Linked DNA regions of Alligator mississippiensis. The protein of the gene in region 2 interacts with the protein of the main gene of each other region in a pairwise test. Links are inferred from orthologs where the notes say so. Each region holds a gene or a part of one and is shown on either strand. Other genes may lie near its edges.

Region 1 (7,984 bases), on a different chromosome or scaffold from region 2:
CTACTGCCAGTGAGTGCGGGGTTTTTGTTTTAAATTGCCGGGATGCTGGGGCCCAGAGGGGCAGCAATTGGCGGGGGGGGGGGGGGGGGGGGGGGGGGGGGGGGAAGGGGACAGGGCTGGGCTGGGCTGGGCTGGGCAGAGCACTGATAGGGGGGCTCGGGGGGCAGGCAGGGGATGGGGCTGGGTAGGGCAGGGATTGTGGGGGCTGGGGGAGTGGGCTGGATCCCCCCTCCCTCCCAACTCCCTACCCCAGTCCAGCTCCCCGTGGCTGGCATGCTGCCTGCTCTGCACAGGCAGGGCTTCAGCACCAGGTCAAGGGCCAACCATAGAGACATTCTGGCAGCTACCAGAGCATCTCTGTGGAAGACCTAGCCTCTGGTTGCCTCAGGGCGTGGTCCAGGACCATGCCCTGCCCTGCTTTTTTCCCCACTATGGATTTTTTCGACCCTTGGATATGGGGTCTAATTTTGCCCCCGCACCACTAATTTGCATTGCAGGGAACATTTTTTTCATTCCCACATATGCCTCTTGCAGCATAGATTGGGAGCAGAGTAGACTGGGCCAGGAAAAAGCAGAAACAGCATGAAAGCAACTTCCAGCTGCCTGGTGGCAACACAGCTCTCCGTCAACTAGAAGCTGCACTTACACTGCAGCCAGGGAGCAGCAGTGGTGGCACGGACACAGGTCCCAGCTGCATGGCTCCAACGGAGATGCAGGGAAAGAACACCCTGCCCTCCCCCACAAAGCTCTCCAGCCTGCACCAGAATGGGGCATGGCTGTTCTGACATGTGGCTTGAAAAAGGTTGCCAGCTCCTGAGCTAATGAAACATCTGCAGACTTCAGGGCATGATCTTCCATTTCTGTTATTTGCATGGCACCACACACAAAAGGGCTCTGGTCCATGACAGGGGCTCCTTTGCACCACAATACAAAGAGTTCAGAAAACAGCTCTAAGAGGGGACAAAAAAAAATTATGACTGGATATTTATCCACTGGACTAGATGATCTTCAGTTTTTTCCCCTTTTTCATGCCAGTGTGTAACCCTTATGAAAGAACAGGTCCATTATGACCGAAGTGCTTGGCCCCATTTAATGGACCACTCAGGTGGAAAATTAAAGAGCATCCAAATATTTGCTGCTCAGACTGGCAGGTCTAATGGCAGGCCTCCCAGTCGCATCTTCCCACTTGGGACACGCCAAGCTCAATACCTTGCCAGCTTGTAGCAGGACTGCTTTCAAAGCATTCATCCATTTTCAGCCCTCCTCTGTGAACAGAATCAGGCACTTTGGTGCCCACCGCATTTACTCAATTGCGCAAACAAGCACCCAACACTCCAGCTGGATTGTGAACAAATCATTCAAAAGTGTCAGATTTTAATGAGCCAGAGAAAAAAAAGTTTAAAAGGTGGAGCCCCAACACAAAAACCAAAAAAAATGCAAAACTGCTATTTGGATATTGTTGATTTAAGATAAAGTCCTTCAACACCCTTGGAGTTACCGTGTGAATTTACCCTGAGGTAACATCAAAAACTCATTTGATACAGTGCTGGCAGAATTTGTTGCATGCCTAGTAAATCCCCTCTGTGCACATCACCTGCTAGACAAAGATTTCTTTCACATACACTGTCAATAAAGGAAAGAAGCCAACTACCTACAGGGAGTGACACACCCAAGAAGGTTTCCTTACCTGCATTTTCCCCATGGCAGCACTAAACTGCTCTTCAGCAGTGGCCTGAAACGTCCTTGCAATTGCAGCTGCATCACCACCAAGAAAAACTTGCCGAAGCTGTCCTGCTTGGGTTTCTACGACTGCCTTGCTCAGCTTAGCCAGGCCTCTCATCAGCATGAAGATGTCGCCCGCCATGACTAACCCCTGTACGTGCTGAAAGACAGAATCAGAGTCATGAAATACAGCAGCTAGGGAAAGATTTCCAATGGCACAGCCCCAATGCTTTCCAGCCCCTCTAGGCAGCTGCTCCCTTAGGAAGGCCCTTTGGCTCAGAGCTCCAAAAGGATGCTGGCCAAGCTGAACCCCACAAGATGATGGTCACATTTTATAAGTGTGCAATGAAGGATGACACTGGGATCCCCCACACCCTCAGATTTATATACAATAGCTTTAGGAGAAGCAGAGGTGGGTAAATCTCCTGGGCATATATATCTCATTCCTTCCCTGACTTCTATGAGTTCATAAGCATCAATGTTTATCAAGATCTGAAACACCTCCGATAGACCTGTTTGCCCAAGAAAAGAGTCTGCTAGTGTGAGTGAAGCATACTGCAGCTGCCACACCCACTCCTTCCAGGAGTCAAGCTGACTGAGTTCACTAGGCCATACCTTCCCTACCAAAGCAAGACGTAAACTCTACCAAGGCCCACCAGTTAGTTACTTCTGTCCTCAAATACATACCACCCTTGATACTTTCTGCCACATGTACTCGTCATTCAGGGTATGGGCAAATGAACAAAGTACAGAGAGTTGACGGGGGCATGAACTTACTATGCATCAGATGCTCCACAGTAACTGTCCATGTGTCTACTGTAAATTAGCTCTATTTTCATTAGGGGCTAAGACATAACAATTTAGCAGGCCCAGACAGACAGACAGCTGCTGCATATCAGGTGCTCTGTACTAAGTCCTCCACCCCATTAGATCACTAATTTGTTCAGACCCTTGGCTAGTTCTAGGCTCACCCCTCCCCAGAGTTGCCAACCATCCATAAATTTAGGCCTGTTCTTTATGGTCTGTCCATAATAACCACATGTCCATGAAGTTGGTAAGAAAAACCTCAGATGTCCATAAAAGCACTAAGCAATCAGAGCTTGAATGAAGATTCCTCATCAGAGGCAAGTGTTGAAGAGCAAAACACCTGATGTCTGAGCTGGAGTGCAGCATGCTGCAGGAAGCCTCCAGCACTTCATGGCCCCTCACCACCCACCTTCCCCAGCTACATGCTTGTGCTATGACCCTACCTGTAACACTGCTGCAGGAAGGCAGAGCATAGTCCTTCTTTGGGTGTCCACGATAGGATGGGAAGGCATGGCCAGCAGAAATAAGGCTGGGGGATTGGTTGAGGAAGGGTTGGGGGACAGGGTATAATCAGGGGCATCAGGGTGTGGGGATAAAACAAGAGGTCCCTGGGGTGGGGACAGCATGGTGTAAAACTATAGCTGCAGGTCAAGCAGGGTTGTCAAACCAGGATTTTTTTATTTTTTTTTTTTTAATATACCTACAAACATTTTACTGACAACCATACTTTTTCACTATGGTTGGAGTTAAACCCTAAATTTGACCCTAAATATGGTTGGAGTTAAACCCTTGTCCAGGGCCTGGCAGAAGGGTTATATTATGTAAAGCATAAAAAGTTTAAAAAATAAGTTCTGGGTTGGCAACCCTACCACTCTTCCAGAAAGGAGTCTCTTCTGGGATGTCCCCCAGGTAATATCTGGAACCCCTTATTGCTTTCAAGGCTCTGCAGCTGCTGCAAACCTGGGCATGCAGAAGGTCCCTAGACTCCCAGCTCCTGTTCTACATATAGGCCACAAAATGTTCTTCCCTTTGCTTAAAGGAGATGTGTTCATTACTCTGTCCTTCTTTCCAACTCTGTACTTCCCTTTCTGGTGCTGCATAAGTATCTGTTGGCCCTGCCAATCTGCTCCTTTCCTCCCTTTCTGGAGTAGGACCAATGGCCCCCTCAGCGTTCTCTCATGGACAGGATTTGCACTCAACCTGGTGTAGGCCAGGTTTTCCCAAATCCTACTGATTGTAATTTTAGGGGTTTCCAAATATATAAACTCACTAAGCTTAACATCCCACAAGGAAAGTAGTGCTCAACTGTTTGGCCCCGTCGGCTAGATAAGTGGTGCAGGGATGGATTGGATTGTGCCCCTCATGTGAGCACACCCACACAGTGGCAGCCCCCAAGCTGCCACTGCATGCCAGGATCAGGCCCTGCAGTCCCCCACTGATGAGACTGAGAGCCCTGCATGCTGAGATTGTGTCCTGGGATGCTGCACTGCCCCCGCATGCAGGGATAAGGCCCTGTGCATTGGGAACAAGTCCCAGTGCCCCATTCTGCCTCCACCCAGTCCTGGCCCTGCCCTGCACACCAAAATTTAGCACACAGGGCCATACTATCCAGCCCACAGGGCTCCCCAGGGGTCTGGAAATTTAGCAGCAGGGGAGTAATGCCACTGTTCCCCACTGCAAATTTTAGGACCTGTAAGGAGCCTGCAGGCAGGGTGATATGGCACAAGGGGTCAGTTCTGGTCCGCTGGCTGGGAGTTGAGTACGCTGCACTAGAGTATTATGCAATTAATGTTGCTCCATGTGCCCAGGCTGAAAGGTAAAGCGCCCTGTTTGAAACAAACCATTAATGTAATTTCAGCACATTCAAACACAAAGAAACTTGATATGGAGGACATGTGGTAACAGAATGGTTACTTTAGAAGAGTGATTCTCAACCAGATTGCTGCTTTCAAAGGGTGCTACAAGGTGCAACAAAATAAGCAAGTGGGAGAAGATAAGGGCAGACCCAGGCTCCTACCTGCCTGGCTACTACCCTGCTTCCAATGCTCAGGCCTTCTGCAATTAGGTAAGCGCTGTTAAAAAACTAATTTATTTATTAATGGCATGCTGCTCAATTCACAAATTATGGAGATCTCTCAAGTCAAATGATGAGTGCCTCAAGTCTAAAAAGTTTGAGAAGCACTGCTTTAGAAGAATAAACTCAGAACAAGGCTTTCAAAAGGCACTCAGCACAATGGTCCCAAGGCACTATTACTAGAAAAAGATGATAAAAATTAATTCTTCCAAGCATAACTGCTTGGCAGCACAGGAGATCAATGAGTGCAGTGTAAATAGGACATCCACTGCACCCAGAGCGCACTGTGCCAAGCAGATTTGCAACTACTGGGAGGAAACTATTGTGTCCACATATTTTGCTTATACCTCCAGCTCCTCTACTACAAACAGTGGCAAAACTAGTGTTCTCTACAGCAGAATTTTCAGGACCCCAAAAAGGTCACATTGCCAGGGCTGGCTCACTCATACATGTACTCCTCCAAGCCCTTCAATACAGAACAAGGGATGCCATCTAAGGCACAACTCAACCCATGGAAAATTCTCTCTGGTCTGGAAGAATATAGTCATCAATGAGTCATTCAGTTCTGGCTGCAGTCTCTACAGGTTACTCAGACTACTTCCTGGATAACTGTGCAAAGTCATCATTTCATTTTTAGAGCATGTTCTGTCAACCTGCACTCACACACAAGCACAGAACAAGTCATGAACATCAGCACAGACCAAGTGCTGTAAACCCAGTCAATGGCACATACAACACTATGCCATCCAGTCTATAAGTGACTGGATCCAGTTGTCTTCTGAGAAAAAACTTAGGGCTTCTCTACAAGAAGGGTTATGTGCCAATTACACAGGAAAAGCACAGCTTGCCTTGGGATAAAACAACTGAGTTCCAGGACAGCCTGAAGAAATAGCATCAATGAGTCATTTACAGTTCTGGCTGCAGTCTCCACAAGTCACCATGAGACTATTTCCTGGATAACCATGCAAAGTCATTATTTCATTTTCAGACATTTTGTCAACATGCACGTGTGCATGCATGCACACACGCACAAGCACAGAACAAGTCATGAACATTAGCACAGTCCAAGGGCTGTAAACCCAGTCGATAGAACATATAGTATTATGCCATCCACAAACTACAAATGACTAGATCCAGTTGCCTTCTGTGGAAAAACAACTTTTCTTGAAGAGAAGCTCTACATACCAGTCACACAGGAGCAGGATGGCTAACCTTGGTATAAGAGAGGTGAATTCCAGGACAGCCTGACAGTTCTTGTAAATCAAGGGCAAAAATTCTTGGTTACTGATGTATTTGTTGAACAAACGGAATGATCAAGGGCTGAGAAAATGAATCAGTCTCTCTATTTACTATTATACTATACAGCCATTTACTATTATACTATTACTGTTATAATGGATACATGGCAACCTCTAACTACAGCATAACTTATACCATTAGGGGCACAGAGGTCAACAACGTACCAGCGCTACAGGCACAGTGGCACAGGAAGTGTCAAAGTCCACCCCCCCACCAGTGAAGTGCTAGGTACAGACACCCTCCACTTCCCATAATGCCTCAGGTAAAAGCAGTGGCGCTGGGCACTTTTGTGCAGCCACTGAGAAAGGTGGCAGTCCTAGCACTCACCCTTCACATGCCCACCTGCATCTGACCCAAACTGGTTCAATTCAGCTCCTGACACCTCACAACCATGGGTCAGATCAAATGGCTCCATGAGGGGGCCATAGGTTGCCAATGCCTAATCTACAGGATTGTTGTCTGGACTGGAAAAAAAAGATATTAACCAGCACAGCATTATTGTCCAAGCTGAAATATTAAAGCATAAGAACACACTATTATGAATGTTAGGGTATTAGTAACTAAGAGTTCAATAACACAGGCATGGACCACAGTTTAAATGCATAAGCTCCTCTTTCACTATCTGGAGCACTGGGAGATGGAGTTGAAACTACTGGAGCAAGAGTAATGTATTCAAGGAAAATTAAATGGGTCCATACTAACACCTAGCCCATCTAAAAAATTAAATATTAAAACCAAACTCTTCCTTTCACTCAAACAGGAGTTCAGGAGCTGATTTTGCCAACAGACCACAGAAGTCATATAGCTGAAAAGATGCTTAAGAATTGATGTCTTGCAACAAAAACAAAACAAGTTGAGAAGCTAAAAAAGCCACAAATGGAAAACATATTGCTCAATATGCACTCAACGCTCAACTGCTAAATATAACAATGAGCAAATATGACCAGTTCCCATTTGTTGGTTTTAGCTATAAAGCAGATATTGAGTCAAACTCACTGCTAACAAAATTCTGTTGACTTCCATGAGATTGCATCCATTTCAGCCAACAATGTTTTAACCCTTTCACCACCTACAAGACTTTGCCTATAGTAAGTTCATTCAAAATGCTCAGGGATGAGACCCAGGAGACTGCCTTTCAGCACCTCTGCTTAGGAAGTGGGCCATCTACCTGGCAGTTACAAGCTCAGCCAAGGTGGCCATGTAAGTCTGCCTTTATTAGCATGTGGGGAGGCATAGCACAGCAGGGCGTATATCCATTTTCTATGCAAACATTTTTGTCTATCATGTTGGACACAAGCACCAAATGGACTCCTGGGGTCCACTATGAAGCAAGATTCTTTGCAAGAAGGCTCCATGACAGTGGGATGTTACTAAAATAAGAAACATCAAGTAGTAGACTATATAAAAGAAACAGTTCTAATGTTAAACTGGAGAGGTGCTTGTTGTTTGACTGTATATTGTGACAGTACTGTAGGTATGCCTAGAATTTTATAAAGCCACACTGGACACAGGTCGTGCCTTAAGGAGCTTGTACACCAACTCAAAAACTGAGCACTCCTCAGCTCCACAAGGGTGTGAAATTGTCAATGGCAAGGAGATCACCACAAATAAAAGGTCGATAGAAGTAGGATTTTAAGAGTCACAATCCTGAATTCTACTGCACATTACTGTTAGCTCCCCTCTTATTCTTAATGCTCTGCATGCCCCATGTTGGTCAGTATCCAAGCATCAAGTAGAGCAAAGGAAAAAAACAAGCTTACATGGTGCCTGGTTACAGACCTCTTCCAAGAGGAAGTTGTAAACCAGGAGAATAAACATTCATTTTCAGTAACGTTAGGCTCCCCAGGAAGGTAGATTTCCTGTGTAGGGGAAAAAAAAGAAAAAAAAAAAAGGAAAAAAGCGAAGCACCCAATTTTGAAGAGCTCATGGACAAAAGGACACGCAAAACTCAGTTACTCTGAGAGGGATATGGAAAGTGGAAGTCAAGAGACTATCAAGGAATGGACAGGAAGGCATGGAAGAGAATGAAAATAACCGGGAGAAAAAGGAGGCCAAAACTGGGAAGATTACTTTTCCTCTCCT
Region 2 (6,918 bases):
AATAAATTTAGATCAGCCACAAGTACAAAGAAATTATCAAACAATAAAAATCACTAACCAACTATAAAAAGAGCCAACCAGCTATAAAGGTAGTGCTTGACAATGTGTGACAACTCTACAGCTGGTTTCAATCCAGCTTTAATATGAATGTGCAGCAGGCTCAGAAACTACTGTACAACACAGCTACCTGCCTGGTAGCTGCAATATCTTTCTCATGTCTTCCCTGGTAACCTCTACGCTTCCAAATGTACCTTTTAAAATTTGCTAAACACTCTGACCTGTTGCTTTTCTCTTGCTGCTGTACTACAGAATATCAAACTCCACTGGCATATAAGAGAAGTGGATAGGCAATCTCTCTGAAGGACCACCAAACTTCAAAGTCCCTCACTCCTGGATTGTAAAACCTCACATCAGGGGACATGAAGAGCATTCTGCAAAGCTCTTTATATCATGCCCCCCTCCCACTCCTCAAAATGAAAAAAAGGAAATATAAAGAATGAAGAACTGCTGGAAACAGGATATTCTGAGTTGCTGCTGGTAGGTTACACTGTGTTGTGTTACTGGAAGTTACATGCAGGGATCCATTCTATTACACTGTTCAGCCAATATCAAGGATAATTGGCACTTTACCATTTTACACAAATCCTAATAATGAATAAAGTAATGTAAAACAATTTGTCATTTAATTCTTCATTCTAGTCAGCTTGGGAAGTAGAACAAGATAGGCTTGCTTTCACTTTCTCTAGCTGATTCTGCTTCTCATGTATAATTTACTGGAGTGTTTAGGGTACAAAAAAATTAGATTAAGTCATGAAAACATTTCCAGTTCCATTATGTTCTTGGAAGTCTTACAGGGATAAATTTTACCCTCTGATGTAGCTACTCTGATGCAAGTCAACAAGGTAGATTAGAGGAAGTTCATGGGTGTGAGTCATCGCTCACATGGTTTACCTGAGTAGAGAGGTAGTTAAGTCACGTTAGTCTGAAGTCAAGCAAAAGGCAGAGCAGGGCAGCATTTTAAGTGTTAACCAGTTCAGAGAGAACTTTCATAGGCAATGATCCACTCTGTCACGTGCTATGGAGCGTACTGTCTATGAAACCATATACCTCTGAACCAGTTAGCCTTTAAAGTGCTACCTTGTGGTAACATAACTAGGGCAGGGTCAGCAGGGCCCCCAACCCTGAGTGCTGACTAAAAGGAAGTACCAGTAATCATCCTCCAGTCCACAAAAGGCAGGCTTTGCCATGGTAGGAACAGCCCTGCCTGGCTACAGCAGCTGGGCAGCACTCTGTTGGCCTTGAACAAAGTATCTGGAGGGCAGGGGGGGTGAGTGGAGAGAGCAGAAAGTGGCTTCCCTCCCACCAGTGTGGAGTCTGTGTCACGGCAAGCACAGCCACGTGCCCAACACTCAAGGACTGGGGAAAAGGAGTGAGCAGGGCACCAGGGGAGGCTCTCAGGGAGCCCAGCCACAGGGCTGCTGCTGCTGGAGCAGAGCTGACTGCCCAAACAAGTAAGCTTTCCCTTCCTCTCATCCCTGCACTCCCCACTGATGGTGGTCAGCAAACACTGCCCCCGCCCCATGCTCAATGAGCTTCCTATGATCTCTGCTGCCTGCCCTGCCTTCTCAAGCTGTTTTACCAGAGCAGTAGGCTGCACCAAATCTGTACTAGGTTTGAGTGATACACAAAATAAACCATAAAGATGACAAGATTCACATCAAAGACTCTTAGAATAAAGGGCAAACTGTATCTGCTGTACTCCCCTTTCAATGAGGAGAAAGAGAAATAACTCGAGGTAACTAAGTGGGGAAAGGAGGATTCAAGGAGTCAGCAAAGCATAAAGCCAGCACCTAGACCTGAAAGGGAAGAGGAAAGAAAACAAAGTGTGCCAGAAGGAGAGATCCAACCAAGAAAGTTACCATTACAAGGATCTTACGGCAAGTAACTGTTTCTGTACGTTAGCAATACGCATCCGATGGCGCTGGCCCTTCTGCTCCATTCCTCTCACCTCTGCGAGCCATCCCGCTGGCTCACGTGTTCCCTTGAACGCAAAGATGTAGGAGTGCTGCATTGTCGCCAGGCTTGTAGCCGGGCTCGGACTAAACCCTCGTTTTGTTTTGTCTTGCATTAAAAACTATAAACAGCCCACAAGCCTGACTGGGACCGCGACCCATCAAGAACATTTTGGCAACCCCCAGGCAAGCTCCAGCTCACTTCTTGACACTCAGGGCCCGCAGCGAGTCTTTTCCACGCCCGGCTCTGTAATGCAAGAGGATGATTGCCCAAGGCAGCAGCTACAGAACCGGGATACGGTTGCCGCAGCCTTCGTGTTAAGAAAGAGAAAATGTTTTAGAAACTCTGAAGCGCCCAGACAAGTTTTCCTTTCCAAGTTGCATCCACAATTACCAGCCTGATGCTCATTAAAGAGAACAGGATTGCTGGGGTGGGGGGCGGGGGGCATGCGTGTGTCTGTGCGGGCACTTCCTGGTGTGCCCTGGCAGCAGCTGGAAATTTTCACCCCAGGGAGCAGGATCTAGATCCATGTCAGGGGCTGCCGGACTGCTCCTTCCTCTCTCCGGGAAGGGCCAAGCAGACAGCCCGGGCCTTTCTGCTGAGGCTGCAACGAGATCCGCCCATTTCCTGACGCCCGAGGACGAGCCCCAGACGGCTGCCCCTTGCTGCCGCCCGTCCCCGGGCCGAAGCCCCCCGTGGTGCTGAGGACAGCGCTGGGCGCGGTCCCCGCCCCTGCCGCCCCTCCGCGCCGGGCGGACCCGCGGGGCCTGGAGCTGCCGCCGGGCCCCGGGCGCAGCACAGCGGAGGCCGCAGGCGCCGGGCGCGGACGGGGAGGGGAGCGGCACGGCCCGCCGTACCTGCACGGCGCGGCTGAGGAAGGTGCCCGCGTCGGCCGCCAGCTTCTTCACGTTGAAGTCCATGATGCTCATGCCCGGGGGGGCCGCGTCACCCGCACACCCGCTGCCCCGGCCCCGGCCGGCGCCCCCGAGCCCCGCGCTGATTGGGCCGCGGCCGTGACGTCACGCGCGGGGCCGGGCCCAACCGTCTCCCTGCGCCGCAATGGCAGCCGGGCCCCGCCCCGCCCCGCCCCGCCGCGCAGTGAAAGCCGCTGCGTCCCGGCGCACGTGGGTCCCTGCCCTCTGGAGCTCGCTGCTGACGGGCGGGGACCCTGCACTGTCGCCTGCGCCGCTCCCGCGCCCTTTCCGTAGTGTCCGAGGGGCGGGTTTGCTCGGGGACGTTGCGGCAGCCACCGCGCGTTTGCGTGTCGCGCTTCAGGCCTGGCTCCGGCTGCCCCGCAGACAGAAACACCCGCCTTTGCACAGGAAGAGGAAGCGGCCAGCAACCAGCTCGGCCCGCGGATGCCTTGTTGACATCCTTTTGTGTAGCGGGATTCCTGGAAGAATGGAAAAGGAAAACGTAGTGGGAGGTGGCCATTGTGCACATAATACTAAGAAGGAGAACATGGAAAGCAATTGTCCAGTTTCTCTCTGCTTCAGGGTAGTTTGCTTTTTTTCCACCTTTCTTTTTATCTCGTTTATATCTCTTCAGCGGCCAGGTGCTTCCTTTAAACCACCTGGTTTGTTGTCTCCATTCGTTGGAACCAGTTTTAGTCGAGGAGTTGTTCGGTGATTGTTTTTCCCCCTGAGCGTTGGCAGAAGCAGCTCCTGGCTAGAAGCAGCTTTCTCCTCCTACAGCTGGCACTGTGGGACGTTTGGAAAGTCCCTGTGGGTAAAATTTTCAGATTTTGATACATAAATAAGCACAGATGTATAACTGCAGGTACTGAGCCCAAGCAGCTCGTATGGGCTAGGTTCATAAAGGAACAAGGCCAGGACCAAGATCCATCAAAGAACAGAGGCAGCACAATGCGAGTGTGGCAATACTTACTTACTTTTAGATGCCTGGTGCCCCGCGATAGTTCACAGACTTGGGTTGGGACTCTCGGCGCTCTAGGGGCAATGCGGTGTCTCGGGGCAGGGTTCACAGCAACCGGGAGTCTGACTGGGGAGGGAATAGGAAATGCTGAGGACAGGCGTGTACCTGGAGTCCCACCTCTCTTTGGGACTTGGGCCTTTTATTTACCTGTAGAGACAGGTGTAGTGACACTCACCGGATGTTCCTTTTGCCAGTGCTGGATTATGACATGTTGAGGCCCTCAACTAAAACTAATCCACGAAATCCACAGAAATGGATTTTCGTGAAATTTTAAGATGAATTATTATTTCTGCACAAATTCATGAACTCAATATGAATAATAACTGTAGAGCCATATATATATATATATATATTTTTTTTTTTTTTTTGTCGCAGAATGAAAATGTCCATATTTAGGGAGTTATTTTCCCATATCTCCTTTATCTCCTTTATTTATCAACTGATTATTATAAAACTTAATAATGAGTCAGGTTTTTTTACTTATTTAGAGGCCCCTCATATTGCGAGGCCCTAAGCTGTAGCTTAAGCCTAAATCTGGCACTGTAGGCATTTCTTTCAAAAACTGAGCAGGGGTCACTCTTGTCTTTCATAATATAGCAAGAGGAAAAGGTGGCGCTCCCCTTTTATATCCAGTAGTTCAATGGATGGAGCACTTGCACAGGAAGAGGGAGACCTACCTTCTATTCCTGCCCTTTCCTGAGAGGACTCAAAACCAAGTTGTGGACACTGGTGTGGCGTAGGTGTAAGCTATACCTACTTAACTCTGTCAAGATTCAGGGTATGTCTACCTTGGCCCAGTGCAGTGCTGTGTAACCTGAGTACCTGAGCTAATCTGATTTGTAGCTACCATGGGGCAACACCCCACTCAAACTGCTTTCTAGGGTGTGGCTGGTGATTGTCTTGTCTTTGTCAGTTTGTTGAGAAGCAGAGGAGGTATGAGGCACGTGAGCCACTGGAAGAATTGTTTTCAAGTGTAAATATCTCATTTAATGTCAACTAAAGTAATGGAAGGTTCAATCATCCTCCCCATTGACTTTACAGGGTTTGGGACCATGGCCGTAATGAGGAACACTTATGGAATAATATATATAAATATTTATACTATAAATATATTGCAGCTAGAAGGCTGCAAGCAGCTGCACTGGGATCTGCAGCTCTCCAGCCCAGCTTGTTGCTGGCAGCAGATGAATGCACACCTCAGGGCAGACAGTGGGGAAGGGGCTAGAGCTGCACTGCCACCAGAAGGATCCAGGCCCCTTGTGGCTCCACCACCACGTGCCCCAAAGGCTGGCCTGCCAAGCAAAATGTCTTCATGTGCCACGCTCTGGCATGCATGCTGGAGGTTACCACCCCCTGTTTTATAACTTAAATACATATATATGAACCATCTGCTGACTCTGTGCCAGAGGAATGGGTATGAATTGAAAGGCAGTGCACCTTGGGAATCAGGGCTTTCACAAAATCTATCAGAAATGTAAAAAGCAGCATGCAAAGTTCCTGCAGTGTCTGTAATGAGTGACACTGCAGGGATTTCATTGATTATATTTTTATTGAGATTTTAGTACATGTTCCATAGCCCCTACCTCCTAGCCACGGTTACAAAATATCTGTCAACATCAGTCAATGGTTACACAAAAAGATTCCTATTAAGAACTTACTGATGTTTCTAAGGTAGTTTGCCAGCTGGAACTAGGGAGAGCCAGTTCTGTGGAACTAGTGTGTGGACCAGAGCTGGAGAAATGCTGTGCATAAAAACCTTAGGATAAATGTGATTGAAAACTGATTAATTCCAGAATGACATGAATAGAATGAACACTGATCTAATATATTTTACATTCTTCCTAGTTTGATAACCCAAGGTGATTTTACTGGAATGGATAAAGGAGATGTGTTTTTGTGTATACGTATATGGGGCTACACTCACATTTGCACCAAAATGACCAGCCAAGTCCAACTTGGTGATAACTTGGACAGGAATGGTAAAAGGAATATTGCCATCTCCTCTCTGAGAAGTTTTTTTTCTGAATGAGCTGTGCATGCTCAGGACTCCATGAAAATTTGAGGGCAGATTGGATGAAGGCAGGAAACAGCTGTTTTCCATGGCTCACGTCCATCTAGAAAACTCCCACTGGTTCCACACTGCAACTGGTACTCTGCTTTCTGTAGTACTTGAACAGGAGCTGTACTGACAGAAGGAAAGAGAAGAGAAGGGCAATGTGAAATAACTGGGAAATGTAGACACCAGTCCTGAATTTGCAGAGTTGAAATGAGCACACAAATATTGTTATATGTCCTATCCTTTCACTTTTTTCTTATTTTTGTCTATGGCCCTTAGAATTTAGACTGTTGGTGCTTTGGGTCAGCTTCTGTCTTTATTCCAGATATCTATCGCTGTGCAGGGCTTTTGAAAAACAATTCACATCAATTATAATGGTGACAGTGATTTAACGGGTCTCTTCTATCTCTTCTTTGGTATTATAATATAATGACACAAATTAAAACTCATAAATGATGCAAAAAAGAGTAGAGTCACTTGGCAAATCCAATATCAAAGTCTGTATGTTAATATACTGTTTGATGTATGCCTTGATTGTGGGACCAGCTCCACTGGGATTCACTTGTGCCCACATGGAGCCCTGCTGAAATAAGAGAGGCTCTGACTGGGCCCATGAGTCTTTTGTACAGAGTCATTCCAGGCATCATAGGCAATAGGAATATTCAAAGAACAATTGGCATAAAGATTAAAACAAATCAACATAAAGCCCACTGTAAAGTAAAATGATTCTCAGCCTAACTGTAAAGTATGGGAGTGAGTTGTGTGAGGAAAACCAATTAGTAATAAAGTTGTAATAAAAATAAAATTAAGTACTGACATCCATTTAAAGCATCTGAAGGCAAAAAGGAGTAAATTGAAAATCTGAGAATTCTGGGGGAAAAAATACTTGCATTTAAAAAATAATGTCAAGACTA
Region 3 (7,332 bases), on a different chromosome or scaffold from region 2:
CCTGGGGGAGTTGCTGTTCCCCGGGAAGGCCCACGAACGTCAGACCGAAGGATCAAACCAGTCACCTTGCTGACATGTGCACTGTTTGCACACACACACCCTGGACCTGACAATGAAACTCCCGCTGGCTTCAATGGTGGGGAATCCAGGCTTGAAACGGGCCTTATACAGATCTTGTACAGGCCTACATGCAAGAATGCCTCTCCTGACTTCTGGGAAACTGCTTCTCCCAGCAAAGCAAACAGGACTGGGTCCGTGTAAAACCGTTCTCTCCCTTCCACATGCACATCCCCCAAATACCCAACACCTCCTGTTGCTTCTGACAGCCAAAGCTTCAGCATTTCCTCCATTTCACACTGGGGGAGACTGGTGCTGGGCAGTGGGAAGGGACTGAGTCACTAAGATGTGCTCCAATTACGTTAATTTTCTGCTTCAGATTGTCCACAAACACATGTTTTAGCGAGTGGGAAGAGACAGATCATTGCAAACAAAGAACAAACTCACCCGTCTTCCTTGGGCATCTTAGCTGCGATGCTGTCCTAATAAAATACGCACGCTGTGCATGCACACGGGTATTAAACACCACTGTTCTCGCTCAGGTTGCCTGATTTTTGGAGCAGGGACCATGGTTTTTTTTGTTAGGGGTCTGTAGGGAGCCTACTGCACACATCCTGGTCCATAGCAGGGGTTTCTAGCTCCTACCATCACACAAGCAGCGAATAAACACCATCATATTCCATGTCAGTGAGGCTGCATTTTACAGCCCCAACCCCAGCAATCTGGGGTATGGCAGCAAGGGAAAAAAGGACTTTGAAAGGGTCTTGCAGGCAAAACCAGCTGTTTATCTTACTAATTTTCCCCTTCAGCCACACACCCATGATTAAGATGCTCAGGACTCCCGGCCTGCCAAGGTGCACTAAGCACTATTTTACAAAACGCAGGTACGCTTTGCGCTGATGAGGCTGTAGGAAGCAATAAGCATTTGGCACCTGATGGCTGCCCAGAGCCAAGATGACAGGTCTGAAGAACGGGCCCAACCAATGCATGAAGCAGATACCTCAGGGGACACGTGCCCATCAGGGAGTGAGTCCCTGTTTACGCTGGGCAAGAGCTGTCCCCGCTGCACCGGCTTCCACCACAGGTTTAAAACAATTTGGGTTCATTTGCTTGAAGCGGAGGCTAGTGCCCCCCGGGTGAACAAGACTTAAACCTGTCCCAGCTGTGGCCCTGAGCCTGCAGGCTGGGCCCTAAAGGGGCTCCAGCTGCTGCAGGGCCGGGGTCACGCCCAGAGCCCTTTTACTGCTGCCTTGTGCAGGCATTTGGGGTCCGAGCCAAAACCCACTGAAGTCAATGGAAATGATTGGTTTGGATGCTACCCAGCTTGGGAGCTGTTTCCCTTTCAGCACTGCAAGGGGGGTTATTCAAGAAAAAGGGACAATTTACAGGCTTAGAGCTCATCCAGGCCATCAGATTCTGCCTTCCGAGCCTTTGGGGCCGGTTCTTGGTGCTGTCAGATCGCCCAGCCGGTGCGGCGGGATAAATCTGCCACAGAAGATGCACAGGAGCCTTTTCCAAAGTGCTTGTTAATTCTGTGTCCTGCGTTTCGCTCCCGCTCCCCCAGGAACCCATTCCTCCGCTCTGGATCCAGGTGACACATTGGGAGCATCTATGATGAGTTCACTGCCATGTTACTGTGTCAATCGCATGCAACACAGCCGATCTACTTCACGCCTTGATGCTTCGCCTCCGCAGCCAGCCTCCATTTTAGCCAGGTAATGCATGTGGGGGCTTTTTCAAAGCCCTGGGGAATGGATTATGGCTCCAGTGCAGCAGGACACTTAAGCATGTGCTTACCCACAAGCGTGTGGGGTTACTCACCTGCTTAAAGGGAAGCACATTCCTCCCTCGCTACTTGCTGGATGGAGCCTAGAAGAGGGGCACAAGTAGCCAGCCTGTCTTTTATGGCTCTGAAGGAAGAATATGGTTGATCTGCCCCTTTCCTTTATTGCAACCGGTTCACTGCAGGCACAGCCTTGACCCTCAGCACCCACACAGCAGGGGGGCAAGCGTTCTCGCCCCATCCCCGGGGACCAAGCAAGCTCTTCCCCTTTGCTAACAAGGAACAGGAACAGCCTCTACCTCCCTGGCCTCCCTCTTGAGGCTGCAAACGGGGGCCCTTCCCAGAGCTTTTGCAATCAAGGGTCTTGGTGGAGGTCTCTGAAGAGAGGCCTGGAGTCTCCCAGAGAGCTGCCCGTGCCACCTTGCAGCCCTGGGCACAACGAGGCGAGGTAGGGCGGAGCGTGAGCCTAACACCCGTGCACCTCCTGGCATCATCCGTGCAAGCCGGGCTCTTTGCACGGCTTTCCACGCCGGCGCCTGTGGAACGTGGGGGGGATCCGTGCCATTCGGGCAGCGTCATCAGCCGGCCGGGCAATAGCATCTCAGAGCAGGAGCAAACTATGATATCATCTGCCGTTCCCCGGGTGTTGGGGGGGGACAGGCAGGGCTGGATCTCGCATTGCTTGGTGTGCACACATGCCCCCTGCCAAGCAGACGAGGGGGGAAAAAAAATGCCTTGTGCCACCGATTCACCCCCCTGCCTCTACCCATCCAAATGAAGCCCTGCAAAATGCCCCGTCGGGTGGGTGCAGCCAGGGCTCCAGCGGGGAGCTGGGGGGGGTCCTGTCCCTCTGCAGGGAAGGAAGGCAAGCATCCCCAGTGCCAGGACAGCAATGACAGCTGGTGGGGGGGAGATGCCCCCCTGCCTCCACGCCATGCCAGGCTCCCAAACCCCCTAGGGGAAAGAGGTGCATGCCAGGCACCCGGGCAGGGGCTCTGCCTTACCCAGGATGCGATCCGCAGCAGGGTCTGCGGCTGCTTGAGGAAATCCAGGGGGTCGAAGGCCCCCCCTGCCCGGCCGGCTCCGAAGGAGGCTCCTTCCATCTTCGCTGCTGCTGCGCTGCGCCTAGCAGCGACTCCGGTGCGGCTCCAGCCCGCATCTCCCCCGCCCACCCCCGCCTCGCTGCAGCGTGGGCTCGCCCACTGGCCCGCGGCGCCGGGCGGTGGGAGGAACCATCCCGGGAGGGGGGGGGAGGAGGGACCTGCAGGTGCATCGCTGCCTGCCCGGGGCTTCACTTCCCAAGCTCACCTGTCCTTCCCCGCGCGCCTCCAAGGGGGGTTTGCTGCACGCTTGCCAGCCCCCATTGCAGCACCCGTGCACGCCCTGTGCATGGGGGTGCAGGGCCAAGGGGGCTGCGGGGGGGCTCAGCCCGGACAGCCACCCATAGGTCACCCATGCAACCCTTGTGCATGGGGGTGCAGGGCCAAGGGTGGCTACAGAGGGGCTCTGCCCTGCCCTGCCCTGCCCCAGGGGCTCAGCTCTGGAGAGCTACCCATAGGCCATCCATGCCACCCCTGTGCATGGGGGTGCAGGAGGGCTCTGCCCTGACCCAGGGGCTCAGCCCTGAGAGCCACCCACAGGCCACCCATGCAACCTCTGTGCATGGGGTGCAGGGCCAAGGGTGGTTGCAGGAGAGCTCAGCCCTGGAGAGCCACTCATAGGCCACCCATGCACCCCTTGTGCATGGGGGTGCAGGGCCAAAGGGGCTGCAGGAGGGCTCTGCCCTGCCTCAGGGGCTCAGCCCCAAGAGCCACCCATAGGCCATCCATGCATCCCTTGTGCATGCGTGTGCAGGGCCAAGGGTGGCTCAGCTCTGCCCCGGTGGGCTCAGCCCTGAGAGCCACCCACAGGCTACCCATGCAATCTCTGTGCATGGGGGTGCAAGGCCAAGGGTGGTTGCAGGAGGGCTCAGCCCTGGAGAGCCACTCATAGGCCACCCATGCACCCCTTGTGTAGGGGGGTCAAGGGCCAAAAGGGCTGCAGGAGGGCTCTGCCCTGCCCCGGGGGGCTCAGCACCCATAGGCACCCCGCTGCCCTGAGCCACGCAGGCTTCTGGGGGGCCGGGGAGAGAAGATGGAAATCATAGAAAAACAGAAAAATGAGGGCTGGTAGGGACCTCAGGAAGTCTAGTCCATCCCCCTGCTCCAAGCAGGAATGATGATGGGTGGATGATGGGCTCCTCCATCACTGATGATGGGTGGAGGGGTTCCCCATCCTCTGCCCAAAGGGCAACACGCCCTGAGCCAAGAGCCTGGGACCTCCCCCAAAATCTCAGGCAGCAGAGGCCGAGCAGAAGGTGGCCGTGATGCCGTGGTGTGGATGGGACTGGCTCATAGCTAGGAGGGAGGGAGCATGCTGGCTGGGCCACCCTGGAGGGAAAGGTTTTGCTGCCTCCAGCCTTGCAGCCACCTGCTCTTCGGCCTGAAGAGTAAGAGGGGCGGGTTGGTTGGGCTGAAGCTCGTGTTTTCCACCTGCAGGAAAAGCCAAGCCATCTTGCTCTACCCAGATGGTCTGTTGGGGCCGGAGGGATCTGCCGCTTCTTGCCCCTGGCTCTTATGCTGGCTGGTGAAGGAACGAAGAAAAGGAAGCTGAGCCCCATGGAGGGAAACCCCACCTGGTTTCCAAGAGAGTTTCCCCCCCACCGACTGCAGGATCATGTCCTTATTTAGTTTTCCTAACGCAATGATGATGATTTTGGTTTCATAGATACCGATACCATGACAACTTTGACATCATTGCTCTGCTCAGGACAGGAACAGGCAGGAAAAGTAACCGTGAGGCCTGAACAGACAGGTGGTCGGAGCCTGGTTCTGTTCCTGGCTCTGCCACTGACTCCCCTTCTGACCCGGGGAAAACCATCTTCCTTCTCTGTGGCTGTTTCCCCACCTGTGACAGGGGGATAATGCTACCGGCCTGCCTCGCCTTGGGGGTGATGTGTGCAACAAGCTTGGAGAGTCCTGCCGTGCAGGATGCTATGGTCCTAGCACTGCCCTCTGTGCTTCCCCCTCCCAACCAGCCCAGCCCTCGGGGTTAAATCTGCATCCTTGTCTCTGACAAGTGCGGTCAGGAGATTTAATGGCCAAGGCTCGTTAGGATGCCATTCAGTTTTTCTCAATTCCAGGTGAGTCATCATTTCTCTAGATCTATTTCTGACTCCCAGCAGGAAGAGCAGGATTCAGCCTTTCATCCCTCAATGTCACCAGCTCAGTAGAAATCACATTTTACTATGAAAAAAATAAAAGGCTATTAAGGGAATACCAGGCTACCCCTAGTGCCTTCGCTACTGCAGGCTGTCTCACTGGGCTGCGATGGGATGCTCCTCAGGGGACGTCGACAGCCAGGGATTGCCACCCCATGTGAACTGCAGTCTGGGAGAGTGTGATCTAAGTGACTTAGGAGCCCAAATACCTTTGGCTTTCAGCAAGACGTGTTCTCCAAATCACTTTGCTGCTTCTGAACATCCCGTCTCAGCACAATAAAGCAGAGGTGTGCACAGTCCTAGGGGCAGATCCAGCTCAGGGACATCTGCAGTGTGTTCAGGTGCCTTTTGCTTTTTAGTCACTGGCCAGATAGCCCTAAGTGTCCTCAACTCCCACAGTCAAAGTCCTTGGGGAGAAGAATTGGTGCATTTCTGAACAGTTGCAGTCGAGATCTGCCTAAAATGCACCATTGAAAAGTTAGAGTCTATTCCTCCCTGTCTAACCACCCAACTCCCACATGCTGGTACTGCTTTTTTAAATGAATCCTTGTATTGTTTGATGTGTGAAACCAACATGCACAAAACACCCCCCTGCATACACGTGTGCACTCACAGCTGAAGAGGAAGACACAGAGCTCAACACTAATTTCTAATCGACAAATGAGAAGTGGTAACAGATCAGAACATTTAATTGGTGTCCACTGAATTACTGAGCCCACAAACACCCAGCGTGAAAACCACCTGAGGGGTTCAGAAATGCATGTGGTACAGGGCACACTGGTGCCTCGGTAGTGGACAGGCAGCAAGGTTTGTGGCAGAAGTGGCTGATAACAAGCAGGCACCTGGCAAGCTGCATTGTGCACCTAGCTAGTTATATAAAGAACATCCATTTACCTCCGCGGGGCACCATCACACTAACTTTGTGCCATGAACAAACAAGCAAGTTCACAATCAAAAAGCACACCCGAGAGCTATATACATCAGCATTCGGAAAGGGAAAGGAACAGCTGTAGGCAACGGTCGATCCTCTGGATCGTGGTGTGCATGTAAGAGGTCTAGTCAGGTGCCTCATGCATCCGGTTGTGGCTGACGAGGCCAATTTGAGAGTGACACAGCTTGTTACAAGTTTCACAGATCCATGTGTTGTCTGAGTTGGAGTCCAAGTTTACAGCAGGCTGCTTTCTTCTTTCTCGCTTGGCTTTGATCCTCTGGATCAAAGCCACTCCAATTTGAGCTGCACCCAGTGCCAGATGTTCCCTCTGGATCAGACGGGATTCTGCATGCTCCTCCCAGCTTTCTATGCTGATGTTGAATGACTTCATATCATTTTTGCATACATCATGGTACTGCCATAGAGGGAGACCCTGGTTTCTAGAGCCGTCTTGAATCTCGCTGTACAAAATATTCTTGGGGATGCGGTCTCCTCCCATTCTCCCGACATAGCTGATCCATCACGGTGGTTTCTGAGTGTGTCAGTTCTATGTGCTCCAGCACCTCTGTGTTTGGTATTCTGTCTTCCCACTTCATTTTCAGGATCTTACGCAGACATCTCATGTGGACGCTGTTCAGTCTCGATGTGCCTAGCATATTTAGTCCATGTTTCTCAACCATAAAACAGGGATGACAGCACACAAATCTCATAGATGCGCATCTTCACCTTACCTGATGGGTTGCTTTTATTCCATGCACGTTTCTGCAACAGCCCGAAATTCTTAGCTGCTTTTCCAATTCTGATAGTTCGGTCTGAAAGTCAAGATTCCTGCTGATTGTGGAACATAAGTAGCAAAAAACATTGACGACACCAGGAGATTTATCTTCCAGAGTGATGTTGTTGATGTCAAAAGTGTTTAATTCTTTGTTTAAACTACAGCTGCCTTTATTCGCTTGATATAATAAGTGAATGATGCTCAGTAGCTCAGGGGACAACATAGCTTCTTCAGAACAGTTTCTTCCGTTGACTGTATGAAAGGCTTTTGTCAGATCGATGAGGGCTATGCATAGTGGTATTCATTTTTCTCTTCACTTCTCTTGCAGTTGCTTGACCGAAAATATATCAGTGGTGGAGCGTCCTGAGCAAAAACTGCGTTCGCTTTCAGGATAGATTCTTTCACCTCGAGACTAGTTAGAACTTCAGCAAACAAATAGAAATCTTAAAATATTATGCACGTGAATCCCTGATGGTACAGGCCCAGCTTCCCAATCCAACTGCAAAGTGAAATTGTAACCTTCTCCC

What was found.
Region 1: the proteins of SH3GLB1 (region 2) and COQ8A interact in binary tests that used the Homo sapiens proteins (3 or more experiments, as listed by UniProt). The link is inferred for Alligator mississippiensis from reciprocal best matches to the Homo sapiens genes SH3GLB1 and COQ8A.
Region 3: the proteins of SH3GLB1 (region 2) and SYNGR3 interact in binary tests that used the Homo sapiens proteins (3 or more experiments, as listed by UniProt). The link is inferred for Alligator mississippiensis from reciprocal best matches to the Homo sapiens genes SH3GLB1 and SYNGR3.

The regions. Positions count from the first base shown.
Region 1 is NC_081824.1:179,104,559-179,112,542, forward strand, and holds the start of COQ8A (atypical kinase COQ8A, mitochondrial), read right to left. Parts: upstream 3,018-7,984; 5' UTR 3,003-3,017; coding exon 2,973-3,002; intron 1,883-2,972; coding exon 1,688-1,882; intron 1-1,687. UniProt on the Homo sapiens protein: Atypical kinase involved in the biosynthesis of coenzyme Q, also named ubiquinone, an essential lipid-soluble electron transporter for aerobic cellular respiration.
Region 2 is NC_081828.1:29,566,720-29,573,637, reverse strand, and holds the start of SH3GLB1 (endophilin-B1), read right to left. Parts: upstream 3,014-6,918; 5' UTR 2,943-3,013; coding exon 2,871-2,942; intron 1-2,870. UniProt on the Homo sapiens protein: May be required for normal outer mitochondrial membrane dynamics. Required for coatomer-mediated retrograde transport in certain cells. May recruit other proteins to membranes with high curvature. May promote membrane fusion.
Region 3 is NC_081836.1:57,372,381-57,379,712, reverse strand, and holds the start of SYNGR3 (synaptogyrin-3), read right to left. Parts: upstream 3,018-7,332; 5' UTR 2,944-3,017; coding exon 2,845-2,943; intron 1-2,844. UniProt on the Homo sapiens protein: May play a role in regulated exocytosis. May indirectly regulate the activity of the plasma membrane dopamine transporter SLC6A3 and thereby regulate dopamine transport back from the synaptic cleft into the presynaptic terminal.